Linked DNA regions of Styela clava. The protein of the gene in region 2 purifies or fractionates together with the protein of the main gene of each other region. This does not show direct contact. Links are inferred from orthologs where the notes say so. Each region holds a gene or a part of one and is shown on either strand. Other genes may lie near its edges.

The links.
Region 1: the proteins of BET1 homolog (region 2) and Golgi SNAP receptor complex member 2-like purify together in Homo sapiens (affinity purification with mass spectrometry; 3 studies listed by BioGRID and IntAct, with this or other methods). This does not show direct contact. The link is inferred for Styela clava from reciprocal best matches to the Homo sapiens genes BET1 and GOSR2.

What each region holds. Positions count from the first base shown.
Region 1 is NC_135263.1:5,712,226-5,720,259, forward strand, and holds the start of Golgi SNAP receptor complex member 2-like, read right to left. Parts: upstream 3,054-8,034; 5' UTR 3,014-3,053; coding exon 2,375-3,013; 3' UTR 1-2,374. Other genes in the region: caspase-2-like, read left to right, coding at 4,229-5,470. UniProt on the Homo sapiens protein: Involved in transport of proteins from the cis/medial-Golgi to the trans-Golgi network.
Region 2 is NC_135259.1:21,485,960-21,493,554, reverse strand, and holds the start of BET1 homolog, read right to left. Parts: upstream 3,139-7,595; 5' UTR 2,896-3,138; coding exon 2,727-2,895; intron 2,062-2,726; coding exon 1,901-2,061; 3' UTR 1-1,900. UniProt on the Homo sapiens protein: Required for vesicular transport from the ER to the Golgi complex. Functions as a SNARE involved in the docking process of ER-derived vesicles with the cis-Golgi membrane.

The DNA.
Region 1 (8,034 bases), on a different chromosome or scaffold from region 2:
CCGAACTGAAAAAAATCAAGTCATTCATAGTAGCTCCCTATATATTGTTAAATATCAGTGGATATTTGGGCGTTCCGGAAATATGTGTACCAAGATGACGCAAACTGAACCCTGACCTGGTACACATACTATGTTCAGGTTGTGCGCCATCTTGGTACGGATACTTCGGGAGCTCCGATATTTGTACAGGACCTTGTTCAATGAAAGAGAGTCGTGGATACGCATTGAATAAAAAAAATGACCCTTACCTGAAAAAATGTTTTTGGTCCATTCTATTATAAAGATATAGAGTTATATTTTATCATGTAACTGGATGAAAGTTTAACATTCATAACATAATTACGTTTGAGAAAATATTGATTAAAAATACAGATTTTGGTCAAAATTAGAAATAGCTGTTGTGAATTCGCTTTGTGTTCTCCTGTTAAAATTATATAACCTGTCATAGAAAACCATTTGTTGAATAGAAAAATGGCCCAATTATTACATTTCACTCAATCTTTGCTGCTTTCTAAAGCTGCTGATGAAGTCGCATGTTAAGAAGGAAAAGAATAAACCTTAAATTGTTATATCTGTATATCATATATAGCCGGTTCCAACTTTGATTTACACAAGAAAGCTTAAACAAAAAAAGAAACAAATAGTACTTTAGGTAGCCCATAACAAACAAAGGGTTCAATGGATTCAGTAAAAGAGCATTTTTTCATGTGCCATGTGCTGCACAAAGATTATACAAGTGAAACAGTTTTTTCTTGCAGTCGATGTGAAATAGAGGAAAAAACAAACGAGAATTTCGGTCTTAGACCGAAGACTTATCGATCGAAAGTTAGGGGATCCCCCAAAACAGCACTCTTACTCCATAGTGACACCTTGTGTCCCATCACTAATTAATAACTCGCTGATTATACGACATAATTCGCCCAAAATCAATAGACTTCTGGTCCGAAATAAGATGAATGCACATGCAAAACCTGGAGCAGATTCAATCTCGCTTTCGTGAGATATCGCGTGCATCTAACAGACAGACAGACAAATACCTATCAACATACTTACCGATTAAAATCGATAAGTAACAATGTATCACTTGTAAAGAATACATAAAGATGTTTAAAAAAAAAGGTCAACCAAAAATTCCCTATAGTTGATAATTCTACAAAAAATCACCCAACTAACAGTTGGTTAGAGAGAACATTAAAGTTGAAAAATAAATAATGTTGGAAAAAACAAGGAGAATGTGATCTCATTCCGTTTTCTGTCCATATCTTTATCCTGATGTATTGTAAGTTGATAAATAGTGACAACTGACAATATTTATAATAACACGACACCAGGGTTGAGAAAAACAAATCAAATACATTTAAAATTAGTTACTGGGCAAGGTGCGGACCTATCTTGTTGTTGAGAAAAAAAGACTTTTCGCTAATGGATTTCAAATTTTCAGTTCTTGAAGATGGGAAGGGCCACTATTTATTCAAAAAAATTGCTGTTTTATTTTAACACTTTTCATTCAATCGTGCTTGGCCGCCTCTATCAGGCTTGTCTGCCATTTATTTCAGCGAACTCAGTTCTTTCAGCCTTACAGTACCTATACCTATGGATATAGCAAATCTGTGATTAGATAACTATTTAAAATGATTTCATTTCAAAACTCAGTATTTCCAGCAACAAACTTAAAAAAATAGGTTTCACTCAATCATTAACAAAATTTGGAAATTGAACAAACTGATGAATTTTTCAGATTTGTAGTTCGATATTTATAAAAAAAAATAGGTTTCACTCAATCATTAACAAAATTTGGAAATTGATCAAACTGATGAAATTTTCAGATTTGTTCGATTTCAAAGTTGATATAATAAAGTATATTGTAGTATTCCTTGTAAAACAGCTAAATTTTTTCAGAAAGTAAGCCCAGTATAACTATAAACCAAATGACATCCAAAGATAAATTTCAACAAATGCATTCAAAAATTGATATCCAATGTCTCAAGGTGTAAAGTTGGTAAGCAATGCTAAAAATGAGATTTATGTTCTTCCAAACGTAGTAAATGTAACCCAACATAAAATAAATGTGCTAATCATGCGCATGGGGCTCAGCTTGCCTTGCATTGAGAAAAAGTAAAACAAACCATATCAACTCAAAAAATGAATATTTCAGTATGCACTATAATATATATATATAAGAATTAAATATCAAAAATTTCACCGGGATACAAGCGTATCAAGTTTTTAGTAAGTTTGGCTATCAAAAATTAAGTAGCCTATATATACACATATATATCATTCATGGTAATTAATATTGCACGACCCAGACTTTGTGGGATGGCATCAATCGTTCTCCTTGTGAATAAGCGTTATCCACCAACAGATAAAAAAATTAAGCAAAATATTTCCAAATGAGAAACATGAAAATTGTTGTAAGTATCATTCCACCGAAGAGAACAAATTTATCCTGAGTCGTTCGTTTTTCAATCAAACGCATGACAGTGTTCGACATTCCGAGAGTGTTGGCAATATTTAGCATTTTGGTTTTGATTCCTTTTAAAGATCCACGCTGGTTTCGTAAATTTTCTATCACGCTACTGCCATGACTTATGAGATCATCCATTCCCTTATGAGCACCTTGTAATTTATGATGGTGATTTAAGCTGGCATCCATCTGTATTGAAGTATCGGCGTCATTCGTAGTAAATTTAGTTTCCATTAATAATTCTCTTTCTCTTTGCTGCTGATTTCTCACATATCTTCTATGTTGAAAATTACGCAAAGCAGATTGTAAATGTTGACAATCATATTTGACTTGATCGACCTTTAACCTCGCATTTTGCCGCCTCGTCGGATGTTCTTTGTTTACCAAAATATCCAGCCTGTCACAATTACCAACAATTTGATCGATGCGAGCTTGTAATTCATTTTCAATGACGTGGATGTCTTCATCTCGTGCCGTTTCTAATCGTCCCATATTTTGTTGGATCTCATGAACCATTTTATTGGTTTGATGATATAGATTCTCCATCTTAAACAAATATAAAATAAATATAGGAGCTAAAATACTGGAAACAGAAAAAGATTTCATATATCAGTATATAGGCAAGTCAATAAGGCAAATAAACATTTTTCCATTTCTCAAATTTCTAAATTCACTGATTGTGGTGATGTCTTTTGGGTCTGATACAAAAATAATTCGGCGATTCAACATGTTGATTCAGCTTAGTGAAAACTAGAACAACTCCTTATTACAGTATTATATTGTAAAGCAAAAAAATGTGATATGAAATTTTCATGTTTTTGAAAAAAAGGGTGATCTGGCGGAATGAAATTCAGCGTTAAATTAAATCATACCCATCCAATTTTAAACTAAGCAGGTCGTGCAAAATAGGATATCAATAGCCTTCCGTACAAGACAAACTTATCTTTAAAAACTCAAAATTTGGGCTGTATATTTTACATTACATTTTTGTTTTGCGTTATTTACGCTGTCACAGAATTTATTTTCACAATTCATTTTTGTTTGCTGTCATTTAACTACTTACGGCCTGTACTTCGCTAGACCCCATTAATTCGCTACACATTAATTTAAACTCGTGACATAGAATATTAGTGAAAAAATATCAAGCTACTCTCTAAATGGCTTTATAAAGTTAAAGAAAAAATTATGTCCCCAAGCTTTGCAGAGATGAGTTTATTGAAAACTAAACCCAACATGTTTTTGTTATGACTTCAGAACTTAGGTTATAAAACAATGAGCGCTCGGAAAATACGGTTAGTAATAAAGATAAAATATTATCACGCCTATTTGTATATATATATTTATATATACGAAAAAATATATATACAATGTAAGTTTAGCATCTAATATAGCAATTTCAAACTGTGACTGCCCCCTACGCTAACCAGTAAAAGACAGGCTAGCCGTAAGCGAAGCCCCAGGCTTGACGTGTCCAATATTAATAAATTTAATCTCATTTTATCTCTGCACTCAGAAACTATTCGAGCGTATTGAAATAGGAAAGCACATGTGAGAATATAAAAGAAACATAAAGAGAAACAAAGACGAGAGAGACAAGATTAAAGAGAGAAACGCCATTTTTTTAAAGGGCTAACGAAAGTAAACATTCGTTGAAATTCAAGAACCGGCGGGGTCGTTCGGAATATGTTCTTGTGGATTTCTTTTAGTGAACGGTATCTCTGTTCAGTGAGACGATAGGTATTCGTCTATAATTAATGAAAGATGGATCGATTGAGCAAAAAAATATTACAGAAAAATAGGCTTTTATTGGCACGATCATTGGACATCAGCGAACTCTTGCAATATCTGGTTCAAGAAGGAATTTTAAGCGATAGAATGGTTGAAAAAATCGAATCGAAATGCACGACTTTTGGTAAAAATGTCGCCTTTTTAAATATATTACCCACGAGAGGACCCCTGGCATTTGAAAAATTAGTAACTGGTTTAAAAGAGACGCAACAGGACTATTTAGCGGAGGCTCTGCAGTTTGACGAAGGTCCCCGAGATGAAAACTCGAACCTGCTCGAAGGACGCGACAGGACAGATACGAAATTCCACGCAAAAGAAAATATTTTGACCTCAATGGAAAATCCCATAGACTCTCATGATGGTCCTAGCAATTTGTTGGTCGAAAAGTCCACACTAGAATTCTATCGGGGAAACTACAACCGGGGATATAAGATGACGTCACGACCGAGAGGATATGCGCTTATCATAAATGTGACTGAATTCGACAACGGAGTTGATCTCCCGCAAAGACAAGGAGGAAATTTAGATAAAGAAAATCTTGGATCCGTTTTACATCATTTAGGATTCGAAACACTTCTTGTGGAAAATCGTACTGCCTCAGAGATAAGCAGCTCTCTGGAGACGTTTGCGCGCAATGAAAATCATAAATCACGCGACGCTTGCGTCGTCGCCCTCCTTACCCACGGACAAGAGGGAGTTGTCTATGGCCGCGATGGGAAAACACTAGTGATTGAAGATATAATATCCCTTTTCGACAATGCTAATTGTCCGAATTTACGGAACAAACCTAAAATATTCTTTGTACAAGCGTGTCGAGGGGATCTCTATGACAGGGGAATCGATGAGATCGACGGAGGCGCAAAGATCAGAAAATCTCGGTGCACAACGTCGACGTTTGATTACAGCTTTGACGAACCTCGTCTTCCTACACGATCGGACATGCTATTTGGATATGCAACTCAGCGAGGGCAAGCGGCAATGCGCAACACTCATCATGGAAGTTGGTACATCGAAGCACTTGTAAAAGTGTTAGCGAAAAACGCCAAGAACCACGATCTTGCAGAAATGCTGACATCGGTAAATAGCGTCATCAAAGGAATGCAGTGTCACTCGCCTGGATCGGACCTTCACAATTGCAAGGAAATGCCCATATTCCACAGCACCTTATGCAAGAAATTGTATTTATTCCCTGGAATATTTCAGAATAAAAAATGAAGATGACGGGTTTTCTGCCACCAAGCACAATGGTTGAACAGATAAAGCCTCTTCGACAAATCCATGAATCAAACTTTTCCTACCTTTTATTCCTCTTGAAGAAACCTTTCTTTCATTCTAACTCATTGTAGAAGATATTGTTCAAACCCTCACTCTAGTATTTAATATATAGCAATGCTTAATTTTAACAAAAATTTTATTTAAAAAAAAGTCTATTTTACGAATACAAAACATGTAATCATGAAAAATTCTGTTTTTAATAGCTTACAAAAAGCAGCACTAGAGATGTACCGATACCACTTTTTTCGCCGATACCGATACCGATCCGATACCAACTAAAAACGCCGATACCGATACCGATACGCCGATACTACAAAAAGGCCGATACTACCGATATTCCGATACCGATACTATGTAATTATTACTTAATTAGGTGTGCTGTGTAGGGCAGACGGGTTAAAACAATGGTCTTTGAGCGTTGTTCATAGCACACATTATTTCAGATCGAAAAAGAGATATATCACATAATATGAAGTTGATGTTTGGCATCCAGATGCTTTAACTGATTAAGATACAGGCTAGTAATCTCGGTGTTCAATTAGAAAAATCCTGATCCGGGATGTCCAATTCAGATTTATTGTTAATATCGCGACCTTCGAATATCGTTATTCATGTTTAAAAGAATATCGCCCACACATTCTAGCGCCGCCGTCCTACGTTCAAATTAAAAGCATTTTACAAATATTTTATTTTGTGGCTAATCGTAATCGTCGCCGCAATAAAACAAAGCCAACATGAAAGAATATCAATCAGCACCGACAAGAAGAAGGCCTACCTATAACCGTCGAGGAGGTTTTTTCACTTTACTATTTTATATTATTTTACAATTGCTATCATATATTTTGAGACAATCTAGTCTAACTCTAGGCGGTCATGTCAAAATATCTATAAAGAAATTGTGTAGTTAAACAAAATTAAAATTAATACCTGCGTAGACTGATAATTGTGTCGGAATTTAGTTTATCGATGTTGACGGACTAGGCTTGCACGTAATTGACAAAAATCAATTCCGTAATTACGGCCAAATCGATTACGTAATGACCCCGTAATTGCGATATTTTTTTCACACATTTAAACCTATCATAACAACCAATTTAATCCACTTCTATTCCGAATGGGACATCGGAGTTTGGTTTTCATATTCCCGGCAGTACTACACGCCGGCTACAGATGTTAAAGACAAATATCAATAAGTGAATTCAAAATAATTTTATTCTGATTTTTATCTTTTGTATTAGCTTTGATTTTTTTTATCCACTTTATCACCAAATTTTATGCGATCAATTTTATCATTACCAACACTGGTAATATATTTAGGAAACGATAGTTCACTTTTTTAAAATCGTATTAACGTATTAATACGACTTAATAAAAATTCCGGGTTGCTAATTTAATAATCAACTACAAGCGTATTCTCTCGTTTGATTATACTTTCGCTTGCCTCGCGACGAAGACTTGTTATTTCACCGTTTTCTACAATATCCGACTTTACTACTTAGTTAGCATTTTATGATAATTATTGATGCCGACTTATTGACGATATTTCGAATTCCATGCTTCATTCTACATTAAATCATTTCGCGGCCTAAAAGTTATAACATTATTTGCGATAAATTTAGATCAAATATTAATTATTTGCGCATTATTTAAAATACCGTACTTATATGACATGCCTTCTCTGAAAATACCAAGTTATGTCGCAAAACAATGCATTTTGTGACATTTATTTTGCACTCATGAAAATATTAATTTATTTTTCTAACTCAAGTCGACAATCCTATTTGCCAAGATTGACACAAGTTTGGTCGAGTGCCGGTGGTATTCGAGTCGACGATAAATCAAAATAAGTTGCCGCATTTGGTAAAGACAGGTAATCATATTTGGCCGACATATTGCGAGGCATTGTGAAAAACATATTGAGAAATGCCAAGTCCGGACAGATATATAACGATAAAATCGGTAACAGAACATCAAGATTTTGTAATAGAAAATGGATCTCGCGCAGAAAAAACCCTGGGAATCCCGTCGTATTGTTGTTTCTCTGCCGTCTCAATCGCTTTACCGATGCCGAAAAGACGAAGTTGCGTCGGTTCATTACGCAATTTCTCTTCCGTCTTTATATTGCTGTTTGATAAGCGCGACATTAATTATCACGGCATTTACAAAAAGACCATGTTTTATAAGTTGATCTCTTACATTCTTTAGTCATTTCACCCGAAGAAGTTGAAACCAGGTGTGTTGACGTCCATCGGTCTCAACACAATTCTATTCTTTATCTACGGTTAATATGTACATTGGCCATCCTAGATAAGTTGATAATAGGTTAGTAAATGACGCGTTATGCCTTCCCCATCTGCCTAACAAGAGAGAAAAAAACGGCTGCGAATACCGGAACTCTAACTTCTTTTACTTAAACTTTAATTTTTTACAATCGACGGAATTGACTGCTCTGAAGAGAGCTCGTTTCAATCGCGAAAGCGCTCGACCAATAATTACGACTTTAC
Region 2 (7,595 bases):
AAACATTTTCAGATATAAAATAAGGATTTTTTTAAGTTTTATGAAATTGAATAAATTTTTTTCATCATACATAAAGTTTTTTGATTCATTCCTGAAATCAAAGATTTTTAAATTAAATTTACGGTAAATAATTTTAAACCTCTCCGAAGAGTCGATTGGGTTTTGGGCATCCCTGATAAACATTGTACAAGAACATGAGATTGACGTCAAAAATATTTCATTTAAATACATTTGAAAATACCCTGGTATAAGCAATAATGTTCACAAATAACAATAACTAACAACAAACACACCGAATAGCTTACTTAAACTGTTACGGCAAAGCAGTTAATAATAGGCAGCACCAATTACAACACCAGTCGTGACAAAAAAAAATCAAAAGAGCAAAATAAAATCTTTGAAAAATAAATAAACAAAAGTTAGGAGACGCTATTTTGGCAACAAGACAAAGTATAATTTTTTATGTCAGTGGTTAACAAGCAATTTTCCCTAAAACAACTTTTCCTCTGATTGATTGAACATGACCTTGTTAGCATGTAACCGTACAAACAATCAAAAAAAAACTGATGAAATTACATTTTGTGTAGATATGCGGTTCTAACCTTTTTCTTATTTTGCAGATGAAGTCATTATAGTATTTTTAGTTGTATATTTTAAACTTGAATAAAGTCAAATGCAGTTATGAATCAGTTAAATTTTAAAGTATATCCGACCAAGGCAGTGGCTATAAGTTAATATATATTGATCGTTGGTCACACAAGAAAAAAAAAAGGTTAGCTTATCATAGGGTCGCCATTTTATTGCCTCTCCTGAACATTTTTGCCAAAAATTTACATCTCCTCGCCATAGCAGGGTGGTTCACCGTAAGAACTGACCTATGACAAATACCTACTGAATATTTGTACCCAGGGCACAGCCAGGATTTTCAACCTTATGAAACAGTTGCTGTGATTGCGCGTTCGGTAAAGGAGCCAGCTTTTTCAGCGTAAAATGACTTTTCTGCCATGTAAAATATTCACTCCATGACAACAACGAGAATCTAAAATGTCTAAGACAATCAACGATTTTTAGCAAAATGCAAGCGCACATATTATTGGCAAATTTTCCAGTCTTTTAATAATTTTGAAACAGAGGTTACAAGACCGAAAACCCCTTGGCTGTACCCCACTGTTTGTACCTACTTGATATTAGAAATATCCCGGTTAAATTCGACTTTAAGCAGTGACTTGATATTTGCTTTATCAGAAAAACAAACGGTAGGCTTATCACACTGATCACACTATTGTGAAAATTAGTCTGAATGCAGGATTGCTGAATGACTGAATAATTTGAAATGAAAAAGAGTTGGAAAATTCAAGTTCAAAGCATTCGCAACCAGCACAAAGTCCAATGATATTGTAAAGTTTCTTTTCCAAAGAGCAGAAAAAATATACAAGATATTTAAAGCTAAAATTTTAAGAAAAATTCAAATTCTAATCTTCAAACTAATGTTACCACAATGTCCACAAATTTATAAAAAAAATTCTCTCAAGAGAGATACCGGGTCTTGTGCAGTTTCTTGCCAAAATAACTTCTAGTAGACATGGCATAAATTTTTCGCATATGTCATTCCTAACCCAAACTTAGGAGTACATGTGTTACTAAACTAGACTCAAGATATTTTCTTCCAAATTGCACTGTGCGTTAAAATTTCAAGGATGACCCAAGAAGAATTTTTCAGAATATATCGAGCCATTATTTGAGTGAGTTTAGCGTTTAAAAATCTACCCCTCCACTTCAAAGTCCATGGACTTTATTTTCCGAGAACAACTCTCTAAATTTCTAGTAGTATTCGAACTATCCAAGCCATTAATCCGTATCTAAATTCATCTAAAATCTGTATAACTTTGAAAATTTCCTCTTATTTCAGTCTTATCATCCAATACATGACGAAAAACACCGCCATAGCAAAGAGGAATAAGTAACAGTACATTTTTCCGTATCCGTGCCTCGCTATTCCCTTCAGTCGACCCATCGTTGATCCGAGAAAACCCCCAACCTTGTCCATGTCATCGTCCATACCTGGAAAGGAAAATAAATAAGTTGTTGTTGGACTTGAAAATTACAAATGGCGAACCACGGCCTCTCGTTCAGTTACCAGTAAGAGTCTGTCTCGGGCGGAACTCTATTGGTACCATATTTGGCATGAGCTGTTGAAAATTGAGGACTTGATTAAACTAAAAGCGCGTGCCAAGTCATGTCATTCCTAATCTCCACCTAACTACAGCATCCAAAATTTACGACAGAGTGACGAAACAAAGCACGCCAAAATATTCGGATGATCGTCCAAAAGACTAAAACACGCAACGATTACCTCGAGACGAGCAACCAATTTCTCTTGTTTTCTCCCCGTAACAACCTCGATAAGAGAGAGATCGCTGGTGTTAGTAAGTTCATTATTGTCGGCGCAGTTGTCATTTCGGACGATCATGGCTATGCTTTAGAAAGCTATATGACATGATTTTGATGTCGCAGTGACATAATTTATGGACGGCGTAGTCAGGTGGGGGTTAGGAATCAAATATGCAAAATTGTTACGACAACTCCACTAGAAGTTACAGTATTGAGGTGCGAAAGTACACGAGACCCAATATCACATTGGTTAAAAACTTATTTGCGTTTCAAGCAACATAGGAATATTATTACAGATACAGTTAACAGCACATTGTAATAAATTTTTTACCAACCCGCTAATTCCCGATTCTGTAGTCTGACTTCTTCTCCTATATCAATTGTCAAAGTTTTAAGAGCGGAAACTTTATGTTTTAATTCCTCTTCCATACGGTCATTCTCCTCTCCATAAACCGACCGTTGTTGTCCCCCCATAGGGGAATACCCGGTCCCAGCACGCCGCATTATTTCAGTACAGTTATGTTGTCAAAACGGCAAAATAAATTTCTCCAATTTTAAACGATTTTTGAGTATTTGTACGGCAGTCAGTGACAAGTATCAAAAACCTTATTGACGCAGTTTCAAAATGTTCCTTCTTGAATTCCAATCTATTAGGCTATAATAATCTAACACTTATTATTTCTTAGTCTTCTCGCCTATTACGTAGCAAATTATGCAGAAAAAAACGTAGAAAGGTCTGAAATTAAAAACGCAGAAATCAGAGAAACGGCAACAACATAAGGCGGAGACCGATAATAGGAACTTAGAGGATGTGGTGGACTGAGTCAATATTTTACTAAAATGCGTCAATGATTTGCACAAACCACCATATGGAATAAGATAGGATTCTGAAACAGTATTTATCCCGGGGGGAGGAAAGCCGATAAGAATGTTTATCCATATGGCAAACCACAGCCTCTCGTCCGGTTACCATTCCAAGTCGGGTATGTGATTAGTTATATTGTTCGTTTTTGGAAGCATGGACTTGGTGGTGGAGGAAGCCGTAACCGACCAGCGGTTACGTGAATCAACCAACGACGGCGAGGAGTCCAGCAATCCTCTCGCACATAACCATCCCTGCATGGGATTCGAACCTGCGAACCCACGCAGAGTAATTAGGGGTGCGGTGGCGAGCGTATAGGATCCTAACGCTTAGTCCGTTGAGCCACACCATCGAACATTTGGTCACGATATAAGTTTGGTTCCGATAAAAGTCACAGTTGGTCCTCATCGCTATCTGTCCGAAGGTCTGCTACAAAAAACTCAACACTTTCTATGCACGCACTCAAATGGTTCGTAATGTAACCGTAACCAGTCAGCGGTTAGAGAAACATCATAATACCCGGTTTCCATGCCCGAAATGATCTGGCAACGGACGAAAGGCCGTAGTTCCCCATACGGTATGGACTTCCTCGAGCATCAACTTCCTTGTTTACTTCATGACTTTGGCTAATCGCAAGATGCGAAAAGTGACGTAACAATGCCCCCTTTTCCACTGGGACACTTTTTTCACTCAGGCAAATTTTCAGGCGTTGCCGTAAACATTACCTCGTTTTCGCGTTTTTGAACTCTATTCGTTAGTTTTCAGTTGTGTTTCTGAAATTTAAATATAAATCAGATAATTCAATGATACCTCTGTCTTCCTAGGAGTTTCAATTTAATTGCAGTAATGAAAAATTAGTGTAGAAATAGCTGTGATAGACTAGGCTAAAATTCTTTACCGGTACTTTTAAACAACAGATTGTCGAGCAGCGGTTTGTTAAAGATGGGTTTTGTATACCGTATTTCGACTGCGCTCCAATCATTGCATACCATAACGAGACTCGGAAACAAGGCAGAATAATGATAAGATTTACATATTTATCCCGGGGAGAGGAAAGCCGATAAGACGGCTTAACCATATGGCGAACAACGGCCTCTCGTCCGGTTACCATTCCATGTCAATTATGAGATTAGTTAGTTATTTGTTTTCAGAAGCATGGACTTGATGGTGGAGGAAGCCCTAACCGACCAGCGGTTACGTGAACCACCCTACGGCGGCGAGGAGTCCAGCAATCCTCTCGCACATAACCATCACTCATGGGATGCGAACCCACGCAGAGTAATCAGAAGTGCGATGGCGAGCGTATTCTTAACGCTTAGCACGATGAGCCACGCCGCCATTGCAACGGTAGCCAAAAAGGGAGTCCTGAGGAGCCATGGTCCCTCCTAATATTTTCAACATTTTTCTGGTACCGGTAGTCTATTTAGATGTTTAGATATACAAATACAAAACGCGATAGATAGAGCAAACCTGAAATCACGTAAGTAACCAGTTAAATATATTAGTATGTTTTTAAATATGCACGGTCTTGCAAGTACCAATAAAAATCATAAAAATTAAATGAAATTTCGTCAAAATTTATTTATTAATTAATATCTTACTTATTTTGTAAATACCCAGTCCAACGGGGTTAAAAGATTACCGCCGAGTTAAGACTTATTTTATATTCGCTAGGTGGCGGTATAGTTCCACACCTGGCCGTGATCATATTCACCCCTTTTATCGGTCACCGACTTTGATGGCGTGTGGAATTGTCATGATCACAGCGGCGATGGACAGTTTCATGGATATAGAAACAATGTGGAGCATCGACTTACGGCGTATTTGGATCAGTTTATATCCTAAGTTCCTAAGTACGAATTCGCTATTGTTAAATATCTACTAGAACTGAAGTCAGATAATTTGATTTCTAAGCACGCAGTCTGAAGTATGCTTAAAATTTGCAACAAAACGATGGCATAGTGCTTATAAGTTCGGTCTAACAATCTTGGTATCGCTGGAGTCCCTTGAACTCGGGATCTAATACACTAAACAGGCAGTGCGAAGTTGGTAAAATCCTGTCCGGACAAATATTGATTGACTATTTTTGCTAAGCCCCACAAATAAATTTACAAAATTAAAAAACAAAAACACTTTGTTAATTACCGACTTATTTCCCTGATTGAAAAAAATTACTTTGTTTGAAGACTCGGATGTATTAGCCTAGTACTAGTACTTAAAAACATTGAAGATTTATTTAAGTAAATGAATAACTCACGGAGCCTCTGGATTTCTCTCACGAATCCGTGGGGCTCCGTACGCAGCACTTTGATAACTTATGGTATAGGACAGGGCTACTCAACTGGCGGACCGCGGTCCAAATCCGGACCTTTCGACCATTTCATTTGGACCGCATCTGCTTGTTTATTTTGGCAGCATAAGCATCGTTTTAGTTTTAGAGGATTTTGATACAATTTAAATACACAGCTACACAGTTTGTCGTACTGGTACCGATGTGCGACATTTGTGTTCATATTTGCGAGCCATTCATTGCTCTTGTATTTAATTTAATATTGCATTTGAAATTTCGTTTATTTGATGAAATAAATTTTCTGTAATGTCCGGACCCCAGTAATTTTGAAGTTTCGTAAACGGAACTTTGGTGAAAATAGTTGAGTAGCCCTGGTATAAGACAGGCTGAAGTATATCTCATTCCCGCTCAAGCTACTTATTAGCTTATACCAGTGGTTCCAAAACCGCGGCCCGCGGGCCAATTACAGCCCCCGTAACGTTTTAATAGGGCCCGCCTAACTTGAGTGAAATAGTTTAAAACTTTATGTTTACCGAGAATTGTTATCATCGCTATCATTTAAGCACGTGTATATTCGTAACAGTTCAATTATTCGTTATCCTCATTAAAAAATGAACGCCAGTAATGAATGAGTACTGGCCTCGGACAGACGAAGCGTTACCGATATACGAATGTGCCAATGTCCTCGAATCACTCAGAATAGTTATCTTTGGAAATAATACAGGGTGTCCCACAAGGTTCCATTACATTTGAACCCACGTACATTTTAACCCACGACGATTGCACCTGCATACTATTGCACCTATGGAAATTTTTTTTGTTTTACGGATAGTTGAACCCATACTAACCATAACCCATGGGTTTAGCACCCGCGTATAGATTGAATCCGCGAATATACACATGGGTTCAAATGTACGGTCACCATTCCACAGTAATAACAACTAAAAATTTCGCCCGATTTTATAGTAACAACAATTGTAAGTTTGAATCAATTTTACTATATGATAAACGAGAACGACAAGCACAATATTATTAAACAGAGACAAAGAAAATTTTGATTGTTACCACTACAAAATCGTGCTGCGAAATTGTATATTCGTAACAATTGTTCGTCATCCTTATTATACGTGCCGTGCCGGTACCGACATAGGCCCCTTTGAAGCGCACCTCTTTCCTGGCCCGGGAATATCATTCAGCTTCTAATTTTGGCCCGCTGTCAATCAAATTTGAGAACTACTCTCTAAACCAGGGGTGGGCACGGTTTTTAGACCAGGGGCCGAAAATTTTGCCCACCTTGTCTGGCGGGCCATGTAAGTGTGACGTAAAAAGATACATTTTATGAACAATATTTCTATTGTTGCAAAAGTGGAAAACAATCAGCCTCGTGGCAAAACTGAATTTAATCGCAATTTCAACAAATTTTTTGAGATTTTTCTAGCTAAGCATCTAAATTTGGTTTTAATTTGGTTGTGGCAGCATCAGGCGTGCGAGATTGAACTACCCAATGGGCCGGATTTGGCCCGCATGCTGTAGTTTGCTCATGTCTGCTCTAAACGAAACACTATCGTGCAAGTGTGTGGTATCAGAACGCCTGTTCCAAAAATAAACCTAATTATCATGGATACCGCACAAGTATGGTACAGGGATATTAATACTTTTAAAAACCGGCCCACGTGTGATTACAAGCGCCTGAGAAAAATACGCAGACTTTAAAAATGTCGTAAATACTTTCATCAGACCGTGACCGGTGTCCTTTTGATGACTTCAGTGACAATTCCATGCCCACTACCAGGGCTGGTCATTTTGAATCGAATATTCTTGATTTATTATATAAAGCGAATCCAAGTAAATTTCACGTGTTTTTTAACAGTGCAGATGTCAGTAATGAACGAGTAGTGGCCTACGACAAACAAAGCGTTACAAATAAACAACTGTGTTTATGTGCAACAAGGTCCTTGAATCACTCAAAACAGTTATATACGGAAATACAGGATGTTCAAAAAATTTCACCCGACCTAACAGCGCTAACAATGATAATTTTGCGCGATTTTA